2 linked regions of the Notamacropus eugenii genome follow. The protein of the gene in region 2 interacts with the protein of the main gene of each other region in a biochemical or structural test. Links are inferred from orthologs where the notes say so. Each region holds a gene or a part of one and is shown on either strand. Other genes may lie near its edges.

Region 1 (9,697 bases), on a different chromosome or scaffold from region 2:
ATGAAAAAAACTTCTCAAGTCTTGGAAAGTGGTCAAGGGCACTGAGGTTAAGTGAATTTCCAAGGGTCAAACAGCCAGTATGGGTCAGAGGCAGGATTTGAACCTATCCTCTATCCACTATGCAAAGCAGCCTCCTAAATAACAGAAAGTAATGTTACAATTTGGACTGATCTCAACTCAATCAATCAACAGACATTTAGTGAAAGTTGGCTCTATGTAATTAACATTATTACTATGTCAGAAGCACTATACTAGCTACTGGGGAAAGTAGTAGACAAAATAAAGACGTTTTCTGACCTCTTAAATAGTTAAGACAATATTTGAATGAACTGCAAAACAAAAAAATCCCTTTCTCCTCTAAGTACTATTCACTTATTACTTTTCACATGCATCTTTAGTGTACACAAATTACTTTTTTCCTATCATATTCAAGGGGTGTATTACAGATACCCATATATGACAGCACACCTAGTGGAAGGGCAACTAGGTAGTGAAGTGGATAGAGTGCTGGGCCTGGAGTCAGGGAGACATCTTCCTGAGTTCAAATCCAGCTTCAGATATTTGCTAGATACTGGGCAGGTAACTTAACCCTGTTTGCCTCAGTTTCTTCATCTGTAAAATGAGCTGGAGAAGGAAATGTCACACCATTCTGCTATTCTTGCCAAGAAAAACCAAAATGAGGTCACAAAGAGTTGGAAACAACAGAACAATTAACACATAGTGAAAAGAAAGAACTTAGAATCAGAAAAAGCTGAGTTCAAATCTACCTCAGACCCTTACTAGCCGTGCGACCATAGTAAAGTAACTTATCCTTTCTAAGTCTGTTTCCTCACCTGTAAAATGGGGATGATAATAACTATAGTTAGCACTTATCCTACGGGATTCAAATGAAATGTGTGTAAATCACTTTACAAACTTTAAAGAACAATAGACCTATCAGCTTATTTTCATATCTAACTGGTTTTGAAAAAAATCTCATATTAATAACGTAATTTCTTCATGTTAGGTATATAATAATTCAGATTCTTCCCCTTCTCTCTTTTAGTTTTGTTTACATAATTCTCATTTTATGTAACAGAGCTAAGATTTATACATATCATATTAACCAAAGCCTCTATTTTACAGAAATAAATGATTTCACGTAAAATACATAAATAACTGAAATTACAGCAAAATTACTAGAGCATTTAAAATGCTGGCACCCCAACCTGATTTTACACAAGACAATCCATTTCACATACATCTGATTCATCCACCCAGACTGCCCTACTATTCTGTTGACTTAGAAAAGGATTCAGGGTCACTACTAAAATGTAATTCCTAACTTTCTTCAGATTGGGTCCACAAATCCTCTTTGCCCAATGAAACAATTACAGTTCTACCCCAGTAATTTTCTGACTTACAGTTTAAAAAATATTTTCACTACGAAAGTGCCAATAAATCTTACAGACCTATTCAAGCAAAACTCCTCTGTAATATAGAATGTTATATTCTCACATCTTATACACTGCTTTTTAAAAATTATTTTCCATTTATTCCCATGTTTAGATTTTGTTATAACTGGACTATATAAAGTTCTCTAGGAGACAAAAACTATCTACTACTTACTTTGAATTATCCCTAAAACAGAATAACTGTGCAAACCACAGGATGCTGACTGCTTCACTACCCATTTTGGCTCTTTGGCCCATCTTTCCATTTCCCACATCCTTCCCTTTTACCTCCTCTCCCCACTTTTCAGCTTTTCCTTATACTTTGTCTTCCTCCCATTAGAATATAAGCTCCTTGAGGACAGGGGATAACTTTCTTTTCATTTATTATATTTGCATTTCCAGCTCTTAGCATGTCCTGGCATATATTAAGCACTTAATAAATGTTTGCTAAGTTGACACAACAACAGGCATTTAATAAATGCTTGCTGGAAAAAACATATGTGAAGTTTAAAAACCAAGGTCTGCTACATAAGAAGGCAAATCTCAGTAAACCAAGCTTACCTGAAATCAAATTTGAACATTCAATTATCAGGTCACCAGTAGTTTAGCCATACACCAAAGATTTGTTCATCAACTATACATACACGATCTCAGTTAACCCACTATGATAAATTACTAAGCCAATTTAAAAGCACGAATTCCATTTGGAGTTAGCCTAATTATCTCTTTTAAAAAAACTGCTCAGATATAAATCAAATCACTAATCAACTACATGCATAAAAGACTAGCATGCTAAGTTTCAGTTTTCTGGGAACTAGATTTATTTTGGTAGAGAAGCTCTGAAGATGGAAGTGACAAACAACACTTTTTTGATTATGTATTTTCCCAGTTATTGCAACTCAAAACATCATATACTTTCCTTACATTCAGAAGACAAAAAGTTTTATAGCAATTATAATGTCCAAGATTTTACTAAAGAGTATCATTTTTCCACTTAGGCGGTGAATTAACTGCTGCTTCTAACACTTAAAAGACTAAATCGTTTTACTTCAAAAATTGTTTTATTTGAAAATAATCCAAATCCTTAGACTCAAAGAATAAACCATTACCTATAAGATAGTTCTATTGTATCTGGACAGCTACATAAGAGCTCAACCTTCCTATCATTCACAACTAACAAGATTTGAAAGAATACTAAAAATACTGAAAACTGTTACACTTACTAGCCTGTGAAGTCAGAAGTAGCCTCAATGGGCAACCTGTAATAACTGAACTCTACGGAATCTACTTTAGATTTTTCTCAATTCTGAAATTGGGACTAAACGAGTGTCTTGAGAGAGTTACGCAGAATTTAAAGTTCAAAGGTTTTTTCCGGCTTCTCGACAGTAAACAAAGCAGACCTCACTGGAGGAGAAGTCTACGTGAAACTGGTGCTACCCTGAGAAGATCGCCTCCCCGATCGCCCGACGCTAGGCAGCGGGGACGCATTCCGACACAGCCGCCGATGGAAGGAATGTCGGGCAAGGGGAGGTCTTTTCAAAATAGAGCTGAGGTTTCTCAGCAGTTCAGACGGCGTAAACAAACCTTCCAGGCTGCAGCCGACGGTAAACAATGAACCTGCAGCGGGTGAGGGGGCGGGCTCTGCCAGCCACCCTCCCGGCGGCTGGACCAGACACCTCGCAGGCAGCAGCCGCACACAAACCTATCGATCCCTCGTTTCCCCCGAGGTGGTGAATAAAGAGCGATCCTGCGTGCTGCGGGGGGTGGGGAGGGGGAAGACGGCAGGATGTGGTCGATCTTCCCCGAGACATCCTCTCGCAACCTAAATAACAGCTTCTTCCCCCCCCTCCCCAGGCCGCCCCCAGGATTGAGGGGCGCAGAGCTGCGGGACAAAGTACATCCTTTCCCCCTTCCGAGTGCCCTGGAGCTGGTCTCCCCCGCTCGCTGCCGCCCACCCGGGGCAGGGGCAGGCGGGGAAGCCGGGACGAGGGAGAGAAGGGGGATGGTTCCCGCAGGGCAGTCCCAGGGCCCGCGGTTCGGACCCAGCACCTCGCCCCTCCCCCCCCCCCCCCCCCCGGGCCCAAGCCCAGGGGCCGCGCGGGCCCGCCCCAGCCGCCGCCCGCCGCTAGTTACCTCGGGTGAGATCCAGCGGGACGTTCTCCTCGCCGCTGTCATTCCGCCCTGCGCGAAACACAGAGAGACCCAGTTAGGACTCGCAGGCCGGCGGCGGCCCCGGCCACAGCCGGAGCCCCGGGCGCAGGCCCCACGCCCGCCCCGCGAGCCCGGGGGGTGGGAGGGGGGGAGGCGGCCCCGAGAGGGGGGGCGCCCGGAGCGGAGGGGAGAGGGCTAGCGGAGGGGTTACCTCGTATCCTGAGGTGCTTCAGCGAGCGGCCGCGGACACTCGCCGCCATGTTGACGGGCTTCAGTCACAACACCGGAAACCTCGCCCAATCGCGCGAGAGCCCCCTTCCCCTCTCCCCCGCCCTCCGCTTCCTTTCCTCCTCCCCTCCCCGCCCTGCGCTCGCCTGGCCTAGCCTCCGCATCCTCGCTCCTCCCCCTCTTCCCTTTCTTATCGCGAGCCAGGCCGGGGCGGGGGCGGGGCGCGGGGCCCAGAGCGGGAAGCCCGGGGCTGGCGGGCGCGCGTGCCTGCGGCGGAGGCGGCGAGGCTGGCCTTAGCAAGACGCCCCCCAGCCCCCTCCCCTGCAGACGAGCGCGTGGCCGCGGGGTGCCCCGCGAGGACCCCTCCCCCACCTCCGCTCCGAGTTCCGAAGGGGAATTCCCCCGGGAGGCTCGCGGGGTGGGCCCCGGCCGGCCGCTTCGTGGCGCGGGGCGAGGCCGCCCACCCGTGCCCGCGTGTTGTGCCTAAGCTGCCCCGTGCTTTGTATTTGTCCGCGAAGAATTTCCTCGCTTCCTTCACGCCACGCCCACCCTCCTGTAAAACACTCTCCTCCCCCCCCCCCTCGTTTTTTCCACTAACTTGAGATTCTGCCGAAGAAAATTGGCTTCATGGGGGGCGGGGGGGGCCTAGCGGAAAGCGGGGTTCACCTGCCGAGCTGGAGCCCCTCGTGTAGTGAGCGCAGTGAGACGTTGGGACGTGCGTGACCCTCGAGGGCAACCCCGCGTGGCACTGCGGAGGACCGGCGAAGACGAGGACTCCATTAGGTAACCTTCGTGCCCACGATGCCCTCCGCGGCTTGTTCGTCCCCTCTAAGTGGTGGACACGTAATTCGTGTTGTTTGCCCGGATCCCGTAACTTGGAGGCTTGTTGGCTAGATGTCATGCCGGGAAGAAGACTTTTAGCTGAGAATGTCAGGAATATAAAGCTTGTCCAGACTTTTTATGCAGCCGTGGAGAATTGGGAGAAAGAACTGCAGTTTTAGGTTGTTTTTTTTTTTTTTTAATTCTCTGGTCTTAATATTATTTCCCTTGAGATGAGCCTAATGTTGGCGATACCATAATGGCCAGCGTCCAAGGGGATGTAAGACTTAATATGGTGTATCGGAAAGGTGGACATCCAAAAACATCCCCTGCTTACAATGCTGTATCAGTTCCAGGATTTGCATAATAAGTATTTAATTTAATTAGTAGTAAGTATTCCTAGAACTCTACCTGCTGCAGTAGCAGAGGGAGGTAGAGGAGGGAGCTGGAAAGTCTGCCCATACTTCCCCTCCTCAGTCCTCGCAACTCTACTGAAATTAGATTGTGGTTACTTTGTATATATTTTCTGTTTACTCATGTATTAGGAGAATTGTACAATGAAGGCCTAGTCTTTAGAACGTAGGCTCTGCCTCTATGGAAGCTTAGTGAGCCGAAATCAATCGCTGAGCAGTTTAAAGTACCAGCTATGTGCCAGGCATGGTGCTAAGCCGGGGAGATACAAAGAAAGGCCCAAGACAGTTCCTTACTCTTGAGGTGCTCGCAGTATTATGGGGGAAGACAACATGCAAACAACCTCCCAAGTCATCTCTCTCTCCTCTCTCTCTCTCTCTCTCTCTCTCTCTCTCTCTCTCTCTCTCTCTCTCTCTCTCTCTCTCTCTGTGGATTTGTGTATGTATATATACAGAAATCAATTGGAAATAATTGGAATATAAATCATAAAATAATTGGATAATCAACAGAGATAAGTCACTGGAATTAAGAAGGATTGTGAAAGGCTTCCTGGGATTTTAACTGCGACTTGAAGGAAGGCAGGAGGCAGAGGTGAGGAGAGAGGGAATGCATAATAAAGGAACCTTTTTTCTCTCTGCTCACATCTGTACCCCATCTCCCCCATCCTCAAAAAACTGTCACTTGATGCATCCATCCTCACTAGCTATTATCCTGTGTCTCTCCTTTTTGTAGCTAAACTCCTTGAGTAGGCAAACTGTCTACTGCAGGTGACTCCCAGTCCTTTTTTCTTTTAACTCTTTGTAGTCTGGATTCTGACTTCACCATTCAAGTGAGAGTGCAGTTTTAGTTCATTCAACTGAAATTCCTGTCTCCAAAGTTACTAGTGATCTCTTAGTTGTCAAATGTAATGGCCTTTTTCTCAAACCTCATTCTTCTTGACCTCTCTGCAACCTTTGACACTGTCTCTCACCTTCCACTTAATGCTGTCTTCTTTCCAGGTTTTTGTGACACTGCTTTCTTCTGGTTCTCCTGCATATCTAAACCCTTTCTCTGCTTCCTTTGCTCCCTACCTGGAGCTCTCTCACTCCTCATTGCTGCCTTTTGGCGTTCCTAGTTCTTTCAAATCTGAGCTAAAGTCCCACCTTCTTAGAGGAGCTTTTCTCAATCCTTAATATTGAGTCTTTCCCTCTAAAAATTATCTCAATTTGTTTTGTATATCACTGGTTTGGACAGAGTTCTTAACACAATGTCTCATTGAAAGCAGGGACTATCTTTAACCTTTCTCTTTAACTTTACCCCCAGCACTTAGCCCAGTACCTTACACATAGTAGATACTTAATAAATGCTAGTTGAGTAATTGATTGGCTTTAGAGCAGTCCCTGATATTTTCTTTTTCCTGTCTTCTTATGCATGATGGTAAAAAGGCTTTAATTGGCTACTGAGCTGGAATTGAGAGTGCATATGAAAGCAAGGAACAGACCAGTTCTCACTCTCTTCCCAGGTGGCCACTGAGAAGCTGGAATTGCTGTGGGCTTCTGGTTAGGATAGCAGCCTCACTCCCTGATTTGGCTGTGAACACATGTTGCTGTTTCTTCTGTCTTAGCCATATTTCTTTTTTCCTAACTTTAGGTGACTGAATATCAAAGATAGAGTGGAAAAAGGTATGACCTTGTGAGCTTTTAAAATCAGAACCATCAAGTTGGTTACAGTCTTGCTGTTGGAGTACCTAATCTGTGAGGAGCCAACTCTGAAGAGGTACCAGCTTAACCCAATGAATTAATCAATCTGGCATGAGAGACACCACATCCTTCAAGCTAGGAAGCAAGTCATCCTTCTGCTACACCATACCTAGAAGTTGTTGTTGTTGTGTTTATAGTTTGTTCTTGAGGAGGACAGTGACATCAGGATGATGACATGACTTGTAGTTGACTTTGATTTGAGGGAGGGAGGGCTGTGCAAGGTCACCAACCTCACTTACTCACAACCTTACTTCTCCTGAGCCATCTGTGTCCAGTAAATTTGATGGAAGGAATATTTTGTAACAATCACTTTTAGGTTTAGAACTGGAGTAATAGTGAAGAGTGTACTCCCATTTTGGGTTGTGCTTAGGTCCTTGACCTATATTCTTTGAAAATATCCCTTGTAACACCAGTTAATGATAATGAGGGTGTTAATTAGCTACTGATATTGGATAAAACACACCAGATAGAGGTTCATAAGCAACAGTACTAGAGGAAGGCACTCAGCCCTCAGTGTTAGCTATGCAGCGGAGAAACTAATTGCCAAGGCCATGAGGGTTCAGAAACTGAGCCCAAAGACATAGGTTCATCTTTCATGTTCATCCTTGCCTTCTTTTTCCCCCTTCCCTCTTATTATAGAGTGTAAGTTTCTCAAGGACATGAACTGTAATTTTTTTTTTTTATTTTTGTTTCTCCAGTGTAAGTATAGGGCTTGGCAAGTAGTAAGAGGTTTAAATATATTATGCACACATATGTATATCCATACTGTGATGGGACAAGCATTTTTCTGAAGTAAATTCCTTTGACTCCAGTTTACCTGATGCAGCTTCCTTGCCTTCCACTCCCCTTCCCCTTATAGCCAACATAAGATAGAGCTAGGACCAAGCTAATTCTGGGGTCTAATATCTCTTCTCTTACCTCCCCTTCCATAATGCAGCTTTTTAAGGGCATAAAAACCCCTATCCTTACTGCATTTTCTTGCTATTTTAGGGCAAAGTAAACCTCTTGTTAAATGTCCAGTGACTTGTCCATGCTTCCTTTTATCAAACCTGGACTAAGAGTGGAGTGACTCATACATTTAATGTAGTTTTGGCAGATCAGGATTAGATGAAAAGGCTTCATGGCTCAAATAGTGTTTGAGTTGGGGGAAGAACCCTGAAATGTGGAGGAGGAGGGTCACGTGATCAGATGGCAGGACATTCCCTGACTCCCTCTTGACAGAGCTCTCCTGATTGTCTATGGAGAGTCCTCTCTGTGGGTAGAGGAATTAGATTATTGGATACTGGAGAAGGCTGCTGACAGGGTAAAGAAAATGTCAAGACCAGCACTCCCTGGATGTTGTTGACTGCTCTAAGTAAGTTGGATTGTGAGTGCAGTCAAATAGAGTAAAATGGCCTGGTACATTCAGCAGCAGCTAAAAACAGAACTCTCAGCTTTCAGGGACCATGCAATGAAAGTCAAGAGACAGCTAATACAACTAGTGACTGCACATGTGAAGAGATCTCTCTCAAGGGGTACTGAGGGTTTCCTGCAAAGAATCAACCCTATGATCTCTGATCTAAAGGTTCAGGTTCCTGCTGATTGGAGCCATGGGACTAGAGGAGAGCAGACTTGGGGCAGAGGCTGGGGCACTCCCACCCAGGGTAAGGAAGGTTCAGGCTTATCTTGTCACTACTCATAGGAGGGCAGGCAGGTAGTGCAGCTTATAGAGCACCAACCTTGGAGTCAGGTGGACCTGTATTCAAATTCTACCTCAGACACTTACTAGTTGTGTGATGACGCTGTTTGCCTCATTTTCTTCATTTGTAAAATTAGCTGGAGAAAAAAATGGCAAACCACTCCAGTAATTTTGCCAAGGAATACCCTAAATGGAATCACAAACATTTGGACACAACTGAAAGAATTTAACAACTCTTAGGAGGAGGATAGTGACTTCCTATCTTGAAGGCTCAGGAGATGGGTCCCTGTTCAGTGGGAGAGGGTTCAGTTGCTTTCTGGGGATTTTCAAACAGAAACTTGAGGAGTCCCTAGGTGTGTTCTAATGGAACCTACATCAAGAGCCTCTCTGCTGTGGACTTTCCATAGCCTCAGATAATTCTCTGAACTCTTATTTTAAAGCGTGAACTACATTTGCTTTTAAAAGAAATATATTGTTTCTTTTTAGATGGCTGATAAGATTATTCACACCTGGCCTTATAAAGATGGCAGCCAGCTCACAGTTGGGGATCTACAAGGGAGTTGGTGATATTCCTAAATGAAATGGATTTAATAAATTGGATTTATGCATTCCCCTAAGCCCAAGCGTTCTGTGTAGAGCTCTGCCCAAATAGTTTCTGACTTTAGCTAGGTTCTCCTCCACCACGCAACCATACAGGTGTGGGTTGATCAATTATTGAAATCTAAGCAGGAGCTCTGGATAGATGTGACTTGGGCAAATATTTTTGTCCATGCAAAAAGATACTCTAAGATTTGAGGGAGAAGTCTCAACCCAACACTGCCATGCTAGGTGGTCAGAGACCAATTCACCATTCTCAGGAGGGGCGTTTAGGTGTGGCTACTGAAACTTCAGGTTGATAAAGCAATTGATGACCAGGCCTTTGAGGCCCAGTAAATTTAAGTTCCAGGGCTCTAGAGGCCCTTTAGTCTTACCCAAGCCTGAGGTATTATCTAAGGCAGGGCTTCTTAAACTTTTTCCACTCACCACCCTTTTTTGCTGAGAAATTTTTGTGACCTGGGTATACAGATACATAAAATAGTTATACAAATCAAGCATTTACTGATCAGAAATCATAAAGAAATTTATTTTAAAACAATTCTTTGGTTTACATGTAATTTTACCATTTATTAAAGATGAAAGCAGATTTGCCTACTAAGGAGATGCATGTGCTTATTTAATTTTACATAAAAAATTAAATC
Region 2 (9,986 bases):
TGCACAGCCCTCCCTCACTCAAATCAAAGTCAACTGCAAGTCATGTCATCATCTTGATGTCATAGTACTCTTTGAGAATGAAGGACAAACACAACAAGAAGTCTCTGACACCCAAGAACAAGGAAATTGGGAGGAAGGACGGGTAAGGGAGGGAAGATGAGTTCATTTGGGGACCTGGTGAGTTTGAAGAGACAGTGGGGTATCCAAAATAAAGATACTCTTTAGGAGATGTGGCCTACAGGATGGTAGAAGGCAACTTTGTACATCTTGGACTTCAAATTCCAGGAAACTTCATCGTCATCTTTCATCTCCCTTACACATTACCACGTATATAATTACCTCCATTTGTGTCTTATTACCCTCAGACTGTCACCTCTATGAGAATAAAGACTGTCTTTTCCAAATCTTGTTATCTCCCTTAATACTGTGCACAAGCCTCTGTACTGAGTAGGCATTTAATAAGTGTCTGTTTATTGATCTTTGCAGTGGTGGCAGATTATGGGTGTGGTACATTTCATATAACTATCAGCCTCAGTTGATAAAACAGTTAATATTGCTACAAAGGGCTGATTCTCAAGGGATAGGAGAGAGGGATGTATTTGGAAATGAAGGTGATAAAAAAAGATATAAAAGAAAAACTCTGAACATTGAAAAAAAAAAGATCAGTCATTCAACAAGAATTATTAAGCCCTCAATCTATGACACAGTAGATACAAAGAGAGGCAAAAATTGTCCCTGCCCCAAAAGGAACTCACGTTCTAATAAAGAGGCAAAGAGATAAGTAGCTACAAGATACACAACTTTAGTAGGAAGGATCTAGCAACTTTGGGGGATTGAGAAAGGCCTCTTGCAGGTAGTGTTTGAGTGGAGTCTTAAAGGAAGCCAGGGGGATTCTATGTGGCAGAAATGAGGAGGGAGAGCATTCCAGGCATTTGGGAGGAAGGGGAGGGAGGTAGGGAGCAGCCAGTGCTGAGACAAAGAGATGGAGTGTTGTATTTGAGAAACAGTGGGTTGTTTATTGAACGAAATTAGAGGATCCTGCCAAGTAAGACTATGGAGAAGAAAACTTTATGGACTGCACCTTAGAGGATACCCACATTATGGAGTCGGAAAGAAGATGGAAACAAACTAAGACTGAATCCAGAAAAAGAGGGTGATCAGTGTTCAAAAGCTATAAGAGAGGTGGAGAGGACTGAGAAAAAAAACTGTACCAAAGGCCTGTCGTTGGCTCCCTGCGGGAAGGGGAGGGGAAAAAGGAGAGGCACTCCCCCACCCAGAAACACTCAAGTCTCACCCAGTGCAGATAATTGCATGGACATCAGAGGTGGGGGGTGAGACACAAAATCCAAACACGCCAAAAAGTTATTCCCTTAAAATTAGTCTACACCCTGAGCCACCCTAGAATCAAGAGGCATTCTCTCCAAACAGCTGAAGGCCTCTTTTGGGCAGAACCTAGCTCACCATGCGACCCTAGGCAAGTCACAAGCACTGTGGACTTGTTTCCTCACCTGTAAAAAGGTAAGGAAATAATAAAGCCTGCCCCACCCCCTCTTACGGTAAAAGTTGAATGAAGTAATAGGTAGGAAAGCATTTGGGGAAACCAAGGGACTAGAAACAAACATTGTCCCACTCACTGGTCGAACTCTCAAGAGGCCCAGCATCTGTATATTTATTATAAGATGCCTTGCAAACTTTAAAGCCCTATATATAAATGCTAGCAGTTATTGTTATTAAGTCCTACCTTCTCCAGGAAGCCCTTCTAGACTACTACAACTTGTGCTGACCTCTCCCTTCCTGACCAAGTGCACTAGTTCTGAAGTCCCGTTTTACATATGATCTTGCATCATATATTGTTTACAAAGGCAGTCTCCAGACAGAATGCCCAGACGCACAGATCACATCTCTCCTTCTGATCTCTCCCCTGGTCAGAGCTGAGCACAGAACCAGACACACAAACTCAATGCAGAGTAAGGCAGCACAGCACACTTGCTAGCTTGTGGTCATGGACAAACCATTTCCCCTCTCTAGGCCTCAGTTTTCTTATCTGTAAAATTAGACTGCTTACAGCACAGTTGTGAAGAAAGTGCTTTGTGAACCTAAACACATTAAAGACCATTCAAAGGGTGAGGATGAAGGTGTGAAATTTTCCAGGTTTCAAGAACAAGCTTGATGGGACCTAGAGATTAGTAGAAACTGAGAATCTCCCAACTCTTCCCTGGAGCTGTGCAGACCCCAAAGTTGCCCTCAAAAGACTAGCGGCTTTATAAATTCAAAATCAAACAACAAGGATTAAAAACTTGCTACGTGGAAAGAATCCTGTGGTCTGTGCTGAGATATGAACTTAAATGAGTCCCTCATGAAGCTCACAGACCGACAACAGCTGGAATGGCAAAAGAAATAGTTCAGAAAGGATAGGTGTCTTAAGAACCACCAAGTTATTCATGTCTTTCCCAAATACACACACCCACACAACCAACCTTCTCATCAGTGTGCAACCTGGCAACTCCTTGGTAACTTACAGTTGAAGACAGTTGCCTGAGGCAGTGAGAAGTTAGGCTTTGTGATCACACAATGAGCATGTGTCAAGAGGCAGGATTAGAACCCAGATCTTGGCAGTCTTTCATTCAAAGTACTTCAAGCAATGGCTCTCACAATCTAAAGGATGATCCTCTTTTAGAACTAATGAAACTGGCACAGAGCGCTGTGACTGGCCAAGGTGGTAGCTGGGCTGAAAACAAGTTTCTTAATTCCTCAACAAGCACTCTTTCCAGCCTATCCCCTCCACCCCACATAATAATAATGGACTCTATTTACCCCCCGCTGATAGATGAGGAAACTGAGGTGGAGAAAGGTAATTACTGAGGAAAGGTCATATTGTAAGTGAATACATTAACGACAAAAATAATCCTTCCTCACAGGTACAAGATGCTTTATAGCTTCCAAAGCACTTTCCCTTCCATTCTCTCATTAAATCCTCACAATAGGAGGCAAGGCGGTGAATCCTCCTCTCCCCACAGCCTAGTAAATAAAGACCTGCCAGTCAAGGGCCACCAGAGGCCAGCCCCAATTTACCCACCCAGGAATCTCACCTCTACAGTTAATTCCAGCTGTTTACTGTCCCCTCCATGAAGCCGTTCTCCACCCCTCAGCTAAGTCATCTCTCCCTCTTCCAATTTCTGCCTTTTAGACTGAAAAGCCCCGTCATATTCTCTCTTGAATCAATTATTTGGAGACAAGTCTTTTCCCTCTGTTAGACTGCAAGCTTCCTGAGAGAAGGGCATGCCAGGCTTCTTTGTATTCGAAGTGTCAACCGCAGGGTCCTGCCCACAACAGGCACTTCACATTTGCAGAACTGAATTTTACAGACCTAGACAAGTGAATCGATTTGCCCAAGGTCACACAGAAGAGACACGAGAGATGGGACCAGCACCCAGGGCTGTCCAGCAAAGTCTGATGCCGGGGATTTCGAGGAGCAAATCTTCCCCAAGCCCTGGCAGGGGCTCCCCTGGGGTGGCTAATCCGGTGTGGCCCAGCTCCCCGGGAGCCCCACGCCTCCCTAGGTGGGCACCTCAGGATGTGTGCCCCCGGGTCCCTTCCCGGGGGGAGGAGGGGAGGGATGGCACGCCGGCCGGCCCAGGCTCGCTCCCGGCCCCCAGCCCCGGCGCGCCCCGCCACGCCCCCCGCCAGCGGGCCGAGGGCGCCAGGAGCCTTGCGCTCGCAGGTCTGGGCTCCGGGGCCCGGCTGGCTTGGGGCGGCCAACAGCTTCCTGTTCGCTAATCGCAGGATACGGCGGCGGTGGGGAGAGGAGAGAAGGTCGGGGAGGAGAGGCGGGCAGAGGCGGGAGGGCAGCCAGCCCGGCCCCGCTTCCTTTTTTTTTTTTTTTGCACAAAAGGAAACACAAAAAGCCACGTCCCGGGGCGCAACCCCGTGGAACAAAGCGCCCGCGCCCTGGCCGCGCCGTGCCGCGGGTCTTGCGCCCGGGCGCACCAGGCCGGACCCCCGCCCCCGCGCCATGCGCCCCCCCTCTCCCGGCCCTGGGGCGCAGGAGGACGGGCTTCCCGACCCCGCAGGCCGCCGGCTCGGCCGGGATGCGCGCTTACCTGCGGAGAGCCGGGCCTGGCCAGGCCCCGGGTGGAGGGGGGGGTCTGTGCCGCTGGCGGGGCGCGGGCCTAGCCGGGCCGGGGCCGCCTCCCGCTCCGCATGCCAGTCCGCTCCGGGGCGGGGGGCTGGGGGCGGGGGGCGCGGCGCCTCCCCTCCCTCCTCCCCTCCTCCCGGGCCCCGGACGCCGCCGCCGCCGCCGCAGCCGGGATTGGCCGGGCCGGGGATCCAGCTGTGGCAGCCGCTGTTACAGCTGCCGAGTCCGGCTAGCCTGCCCTCCTCCCCCCTCCCCCTCCTCCTCCTCCTCCTCCTCCTCCTCCCGCCGGATCCGGGGCCGGGCGGGGGCTGGGCCGCGCTGGGGGCGCAGGGTCCGGCCGGGGAGGGCAGGAGGGAGGGGCGGCCCGGAGAGCCACCCCCCGGCCGCCTGCAGCGCTCTGGGCTGGGGCTACCGCGGCCCGGGCGGGCGAGGGGGGGGCGCGAGTCCGGGCGCGGGGCCTCCGGATCCCTCCAGCGCGTCCGGCTCCTCCTCCGCCCTGGCGCCCCGGGCTCACGCTGCCCTGCACACACGCTCCCCCACACTCACACACTCACAAACACAGACACACACCGCCCCGGCTAGCGCGCCCGCCCTCCCCTTTCCCCGCCCTCCCCCAACTATGCAGCCAACATCCGCCCGGCTCCTCCCCGCCTCCTTCTTCCTCTTTTCCCTCCTCCCCCTTCCCTTTCTCGTCCTCCTCCTCGTCTCCCTTCTCTTTTTCATCCTCTTCTCCTTCCTCTTCGCTCTCTTCTCCCCGCTCTCCCTTCCTCCTTTTCCTCCTCCCCTTACGGGGTCTTAGGAACACAGACTGTGACCTTGGCCATTATCCAGCCCAAGCCCCTCATTTGACAAATGAGGGAACTGAGTCTGAAAGGTTAAACAGGAGTAAAGCCCACTCCTTCCTCTTGTCTACTCCCATCTTCATCAGCTTTTAGCCCTAAGTTTGTTTTAGATTTGAATTTAGAACTGAAAAGAAGCTTGCTGGTCCTCTGTTAGATAGCCCCCTCTTTTTACAAGTAATAAAATAGCTGCTGCTGTGGCCAGACGCTTTGTAATCAATCATCTCATTGGATCCTCATGACAGTCCCAGGAGATCATTGCTATTATTAGCCCCATTTTGCAGGTGAAGAAACTGAGGCCCAGCGTTTAAGTGACCTGCCCAGGGCCACGTAGGTAATAAGTAACAAAGCTAGACTTTGAAAACCATTTGTTTTCCAGGGGAAGGAGAATAATTATACAGTTTCCCCACCCACACCAGGACCGGAATGTTTTGGCAAAAAGCTGGGAAATGCAGAATTCCCTACGTCTGATTCATGGCACTTCCAGATTGATGAGGGTGAAGATAAAATTGACATACAGGTCTATTACCCATTCTAAGAAAGTCCCTGCTCGACCTGGCTCTGAGAATGACCCAGCCTAGCCAGAGTAAGAATTTCTATTATAAGCAAGATGCTCCAGAAAAAGAAGACTGGGAGAGAACTTATTTGGCTAGCTAATGGAGCCAACACCATTGGACCCCTGAGCTATGAGACTAAACTGACACCAAGGACTGAACCTAAGGTTTAGGCAGGGGGGAAAGGAGACTCAGGAACAAGGCAGTGGACCCCTGGACCAGTCTTTTCTGTCTTCTGCCCTTTCACTGGAGAGAAGGATATGACCTAAGCCCCTGGATGCTGGTACTATGTTCAGTTCAGATATATAGGGGAGACGGAAAAGGAATAATCTTGGGCAGACCTTGTCCTCAGGAGAACTCACAGTCTAAGGGTGAGGAAGAGACTTATCCATGAAAGACAAAACAATTCATGGTAATTTCTAACTGAGTGCTACTAACTAGAAGCTATGAAAAAGGATCAATCAGTCAGGTGGGAGGAGAACCAGGAAAGAGACTTGTCATGAAAACCTAGAGAGAGGAGAATATCCAGGAAAAGAGGGTGAAAGCCAGTGTCAAACGCATCAGAGAAGTCATGAAGCATGAAGATTGTTACATTTGTCAATTAAGAGATCATTGGTAACTTTGGAGAAAGGCATTTTGGTTGAGCCAGACTGCAGAGAGTTGAGAAGAAAGTGAGACATGTATGATTGATATTGCATTTTTTGCCTTCTTAAGAGGGAGGGGGGGAAAGGTGGGAGGGACCAAATTTGGAATTCAGTTTTAAAAAATGAATTCTAATAAATAAGTTTTAAAGAAATACATATTTATTGAGCACTACACTAGAAATAGAAGAAACAAAGTTTAGATAAGACACGACTCCTGTTCTCTTAAAGGTCTCCTGCTCTTTAGGAGAGGGATGTGATGAGAATAAAATGTGTCTCAAGCAGGTTTTCTTAACTTGAGATCCATAAACTTGTTTGCTTTTGCTTTTTTTGTTTTGTTTTTGCCAACTATTTAAATAATCACGACTTCTTTAAAAAAAAGAAGAAGAAGAAAGTGAGAGGAAAGGAAATGGAGGCATCCATTGTAGTGAACCTTCTCAAGGAGGTTAGCCAGGGAAGGGAAGAGACAGAATGATTATTAATGGGGAGGGATGGATTAAATGAGAGACTTTTGAGGATGGAAGAAAGACGGGTGTGTTTGTAAGCATTGGGAAAGTTGTCAGTAGATGGAGAAAGATTGAAGATTAGATAGGGAGTATGGATGATGGAGAAAATCTGCTGGAGAAAAAAAATGGGATAGAGAGGGAGAAGGGGCCATCTCTTCACGTGTGGCTGAGGTGAGGGAAGAGGCAGTGGGTGCAAATGTCTGGAGAAATAGCTTCTGAGGAAAGACTTCATTCATTCAGTGAAATAAAAAGCAAGGTTCTTAGCGGATAGGGGGGATACACAGGAAACTGAAACAGCTAAACAGGCTTACTTACTATGCCTGGTACACAACATTCCATTTCCCATCTCCTTGAAGTGGAGAGAGTGCTAGGCCTGAAATCCGAAAGACTTGAGTTGGAGTCATACACTAACATTTACCTCAGTTCCCTCATCCATAGAAATGGATATTATAATAATAGTGTATCTCCCAGGGTTGCTGTGAGGATCAGATGAGATGATAAATGTAACTCACTTACCACACTGCCTGGCATATAGTAAGCACTCAATAATTTCAGTCAAGTTCAACTCTTCCTGATGTCATTTGGGGTTTTCTTGACAAAGATATTAAAATGGTTTGCTATTTCTTTCTCCAGCTTATTTTACAGATGAGGAAACTGAGGCAAACAGGGTGAAGTGACTTGCCCAGGGTCACACAGCTAAAGCCAGATTTGGACTCAGGAAGAGGAATCTTTGTGACTTCAGGCCCAGCACTCTATCCACTGGGTCACCTAGCTGCCCAAGCACTATATAAAATTAGTTTTTATTATTATTGTTATTCCATCCTGGGAATGCAGCCCCACCTCACTTCTTACAATCCTTAGTTTCTTTTGAAGTTCTAGTCATGTGGAACCTCCTACATGAGACTTTTCCTATAACCCCAGCTGCTATTTTGTATTGGCTTCAATGTGCATGTGTTGTTTTCCCAATAGAATAAAAATTCCTTTAGAGTAAAGACTGTTGTCTTTTCTCCTTTATGTCCCAGGTGCATAGCACAGCACTTGATACACAGTAGATGCCTTGTGTATTGTAGGCACAGAATATATCTTCATTGAATTTGTACATTCTTGAAAGGTACATTATGAACGGAATTGTCTTAAATGGAGACCTATTTACCCACTGATTTACAGGATCCTCCAATTAGAAGTAATGTCACCCTCCTTAAAACCTTAGAGTTAAATGGGTGCAGTATTCTTATATGAAAGAAAGCACCGCTTACAGCTTCAGGGAAAGCCCCTTCAACTTTGGATGTCAGCATCCTTATCTGTAAAATCCTAGAGTAAAAGGTCAAACAACAATAACAAAATGGGCATGATAATACTGGTACAACCAATTTCACAAGTGGGTGGTGAGGAAATGCTTTGTAAACTCTAAAGCACTCTAAAAACATAAGTTATCATTTTATTGTGGCCCTACTCACATTCGGTCTTGGTTTCAAGTTATCATACACACGTCCTTTTCTTCCTTCTTAATTCCAAGTTCCCTGAGGGAAGATCTTATCCTTCTCTGCATCCTTTACCCACTGTGAGTTCCCCAAGAATAGAGCCAGGTTCTGCCCTTCTTCCTAATTCTCGGTAAGTGAAATCCAGGAATGGGTACACAATTGGGAGAGAGGAACTGAAAGACTCAGGTGATGTTTGCTGAATGAATGAAAGAAGCGAGCTCTAATCTCACAGTTTCAGACTCTATAGCAAGCACATGGGTGAGATGTTTTAGAATGGATAGGGATAGGGGTCCTGAGACCCTCAAAATACTCTAATAGACCAGAATCCTCCATAGACTCATATACTATCAAACATGGATCTTAGACCATAGACTTAGAGCTGGAAGGGACCTTAGACTAAAGAATCACAAAACTGAGTAGGTCATTATAGTATAAAATATGAGTTGAAAAGGATTCTTAGTTCAAGCCTGTTATTTTGCAAATGGGGAAACCCAGAGAGGGCCAGTGACATATCGAAGGTCATACAGTGATTTAATGACAAAGTCAAGACTAAAACCCCAGTTTCTTGGTCAGTGCTTTCACATCACAGCCTGGACTGACATAACTCCCTTCTCTTGGCCTGAATATGCTAAACACAGCAATGGGTTGGGGGTTGGGGGTGAATGGAAGGGAATATGAATTCCGATTTGACAAGAACTTACTGGGGAAACTCAAAAGCAGTTTTGGCAAGAATTACACTTCTATTACACTTCTACTGGTATCTTACACCATATACCTGTTCTAAGCCTAAAATGGTCCTGAGGGTCTAGCAAAAATCTTTTGGGATAAAATTGGCAACTTTTTCCATTCCTTTCTTATTTCTCTCACTCTAACTTGAGTTGTCTAGAATAAGACCTTACAACAACATCTGGCCATCCCTCCCAGCTGGACCCTGATACTTGGGGCCCAAATCTGATTTACACTTTGCTCTGGACCTGTGACTATCAGCCTTCCTGAGTAAACAATCAGGCAACAGCTCCCCACAGCCCCACAGCCCCATATCAAGGGCAGGGCAGAGTCAAGGCCTTGACCATAGTCGAGGGGAGGGGGGCAGAGCTTGAGAACACTGTCTCTCTAGGACCCAGAAGGGAATTTGTGAACATCTTGAATTCTGACAAAATTTTTTTTAATTATCCCAAGCCTCCACAAAAACAAACAAAATAAACTGTGTTTGTAATTCAGTAGCTGTACTTGGGTGAAGTCCAGCAATTAAACACCAGAAATCAAACAGTCACGGTCATAGGTCACAAGATTTAGAGTTGGAAGGAACTTTAGAGATAACCTCGTCATTTTACAGATGGGGAAATAGATTCGGAGAAGGGCATGGACTTACCCAAAGTCACATTAGTTGCCAAGTTTAGCACTTTCCACAATATATTTTTATATATTACCTTCTCATTTAAGCCCCACAATGACCCTGTAAGGTAGAGCATACTACAGTCCCTGTTTTATGGAAGAAGAAACTAAGACCTAGAGAGATCTATTCAAGCTCACCAAAGGACCAGAACTGGAATTGGAATCTATTCCCTATGACTTCAAATCCAATACTATTGCCACCATATCTCCACAATCCCTGTGGTCTTCAGGAGCTAAGGCTTTGGGCATAGTGAGCTGCCTGTCTGGAGAAAGCAAAGGGGAGGATGTCTGAAGAAATTGGTTCTTTTGACTCCAGCTTTTCATCATCTCCCCCCTCAAATCCCATGGCCCACCTTTGACCTCTATCCACTGCCTACTGGATAGTACCTAATTCCCTCACTTTCTCTGACTGGTCAGATCTGAGAGTGGGCTCCC

Evidence for each region.
Region 1: of the proteins of AKT1 (region 2) and RICTOR, one has a biochemical effect on the other in vitro, tested with the Homo sapiens proteins (7 studies listed by BioGRID, with this or other methods). The link is inferred for Notamacropus eugenii from reciprocal best matches to the Homo sapiens genes AKT1 and RICTOR.

What each region holds. Positions count from the first base shown.
Region 1 is NC_092875.1:421,422,933-421,432,629, reverse strand, and holds the start of RICTOR (rapamycin-insensitive companion of mTOR), read right to left. Parts: upstream 4,137-9,697; 5' UTR 3,845-4,136; coding exon 3,796-3,844; intron 3,615-3,795; coding exon 3,567-3,614; intron 3,472-3,566; exon of another isoform or gene 1-3,471. UniProt on the Homo sapiens protein: Component of the mechanistic target of rapamycin complex 2 (mTORC2), which transduces signals from growth factors to pathways involved in proliferation, cytoskeletal organization, lipogenesis and anabolic output.
Region 2 is NC_092872.1:346,209,564-346,219,549, reverse strand, and holds the start of AKT1 (RAC-alpha serine/threonine-protein kinase), read right to left. Parts: upstream 4,222-9,986; 5' UTR 4,101-4,221; intron 3,199-4,100; exon of another isoform or gene 3,090-3,198; intron 1-3,089. UniProt on the Homo sapiens protein: AKT1 is one of 3 closely related serine/threonine-protein kinases (AKT1, AKT2 and AKT3) called the AKT kinase, and which regulate many processes including metabolism, proliferation, cell survival, growth and angiogenesis.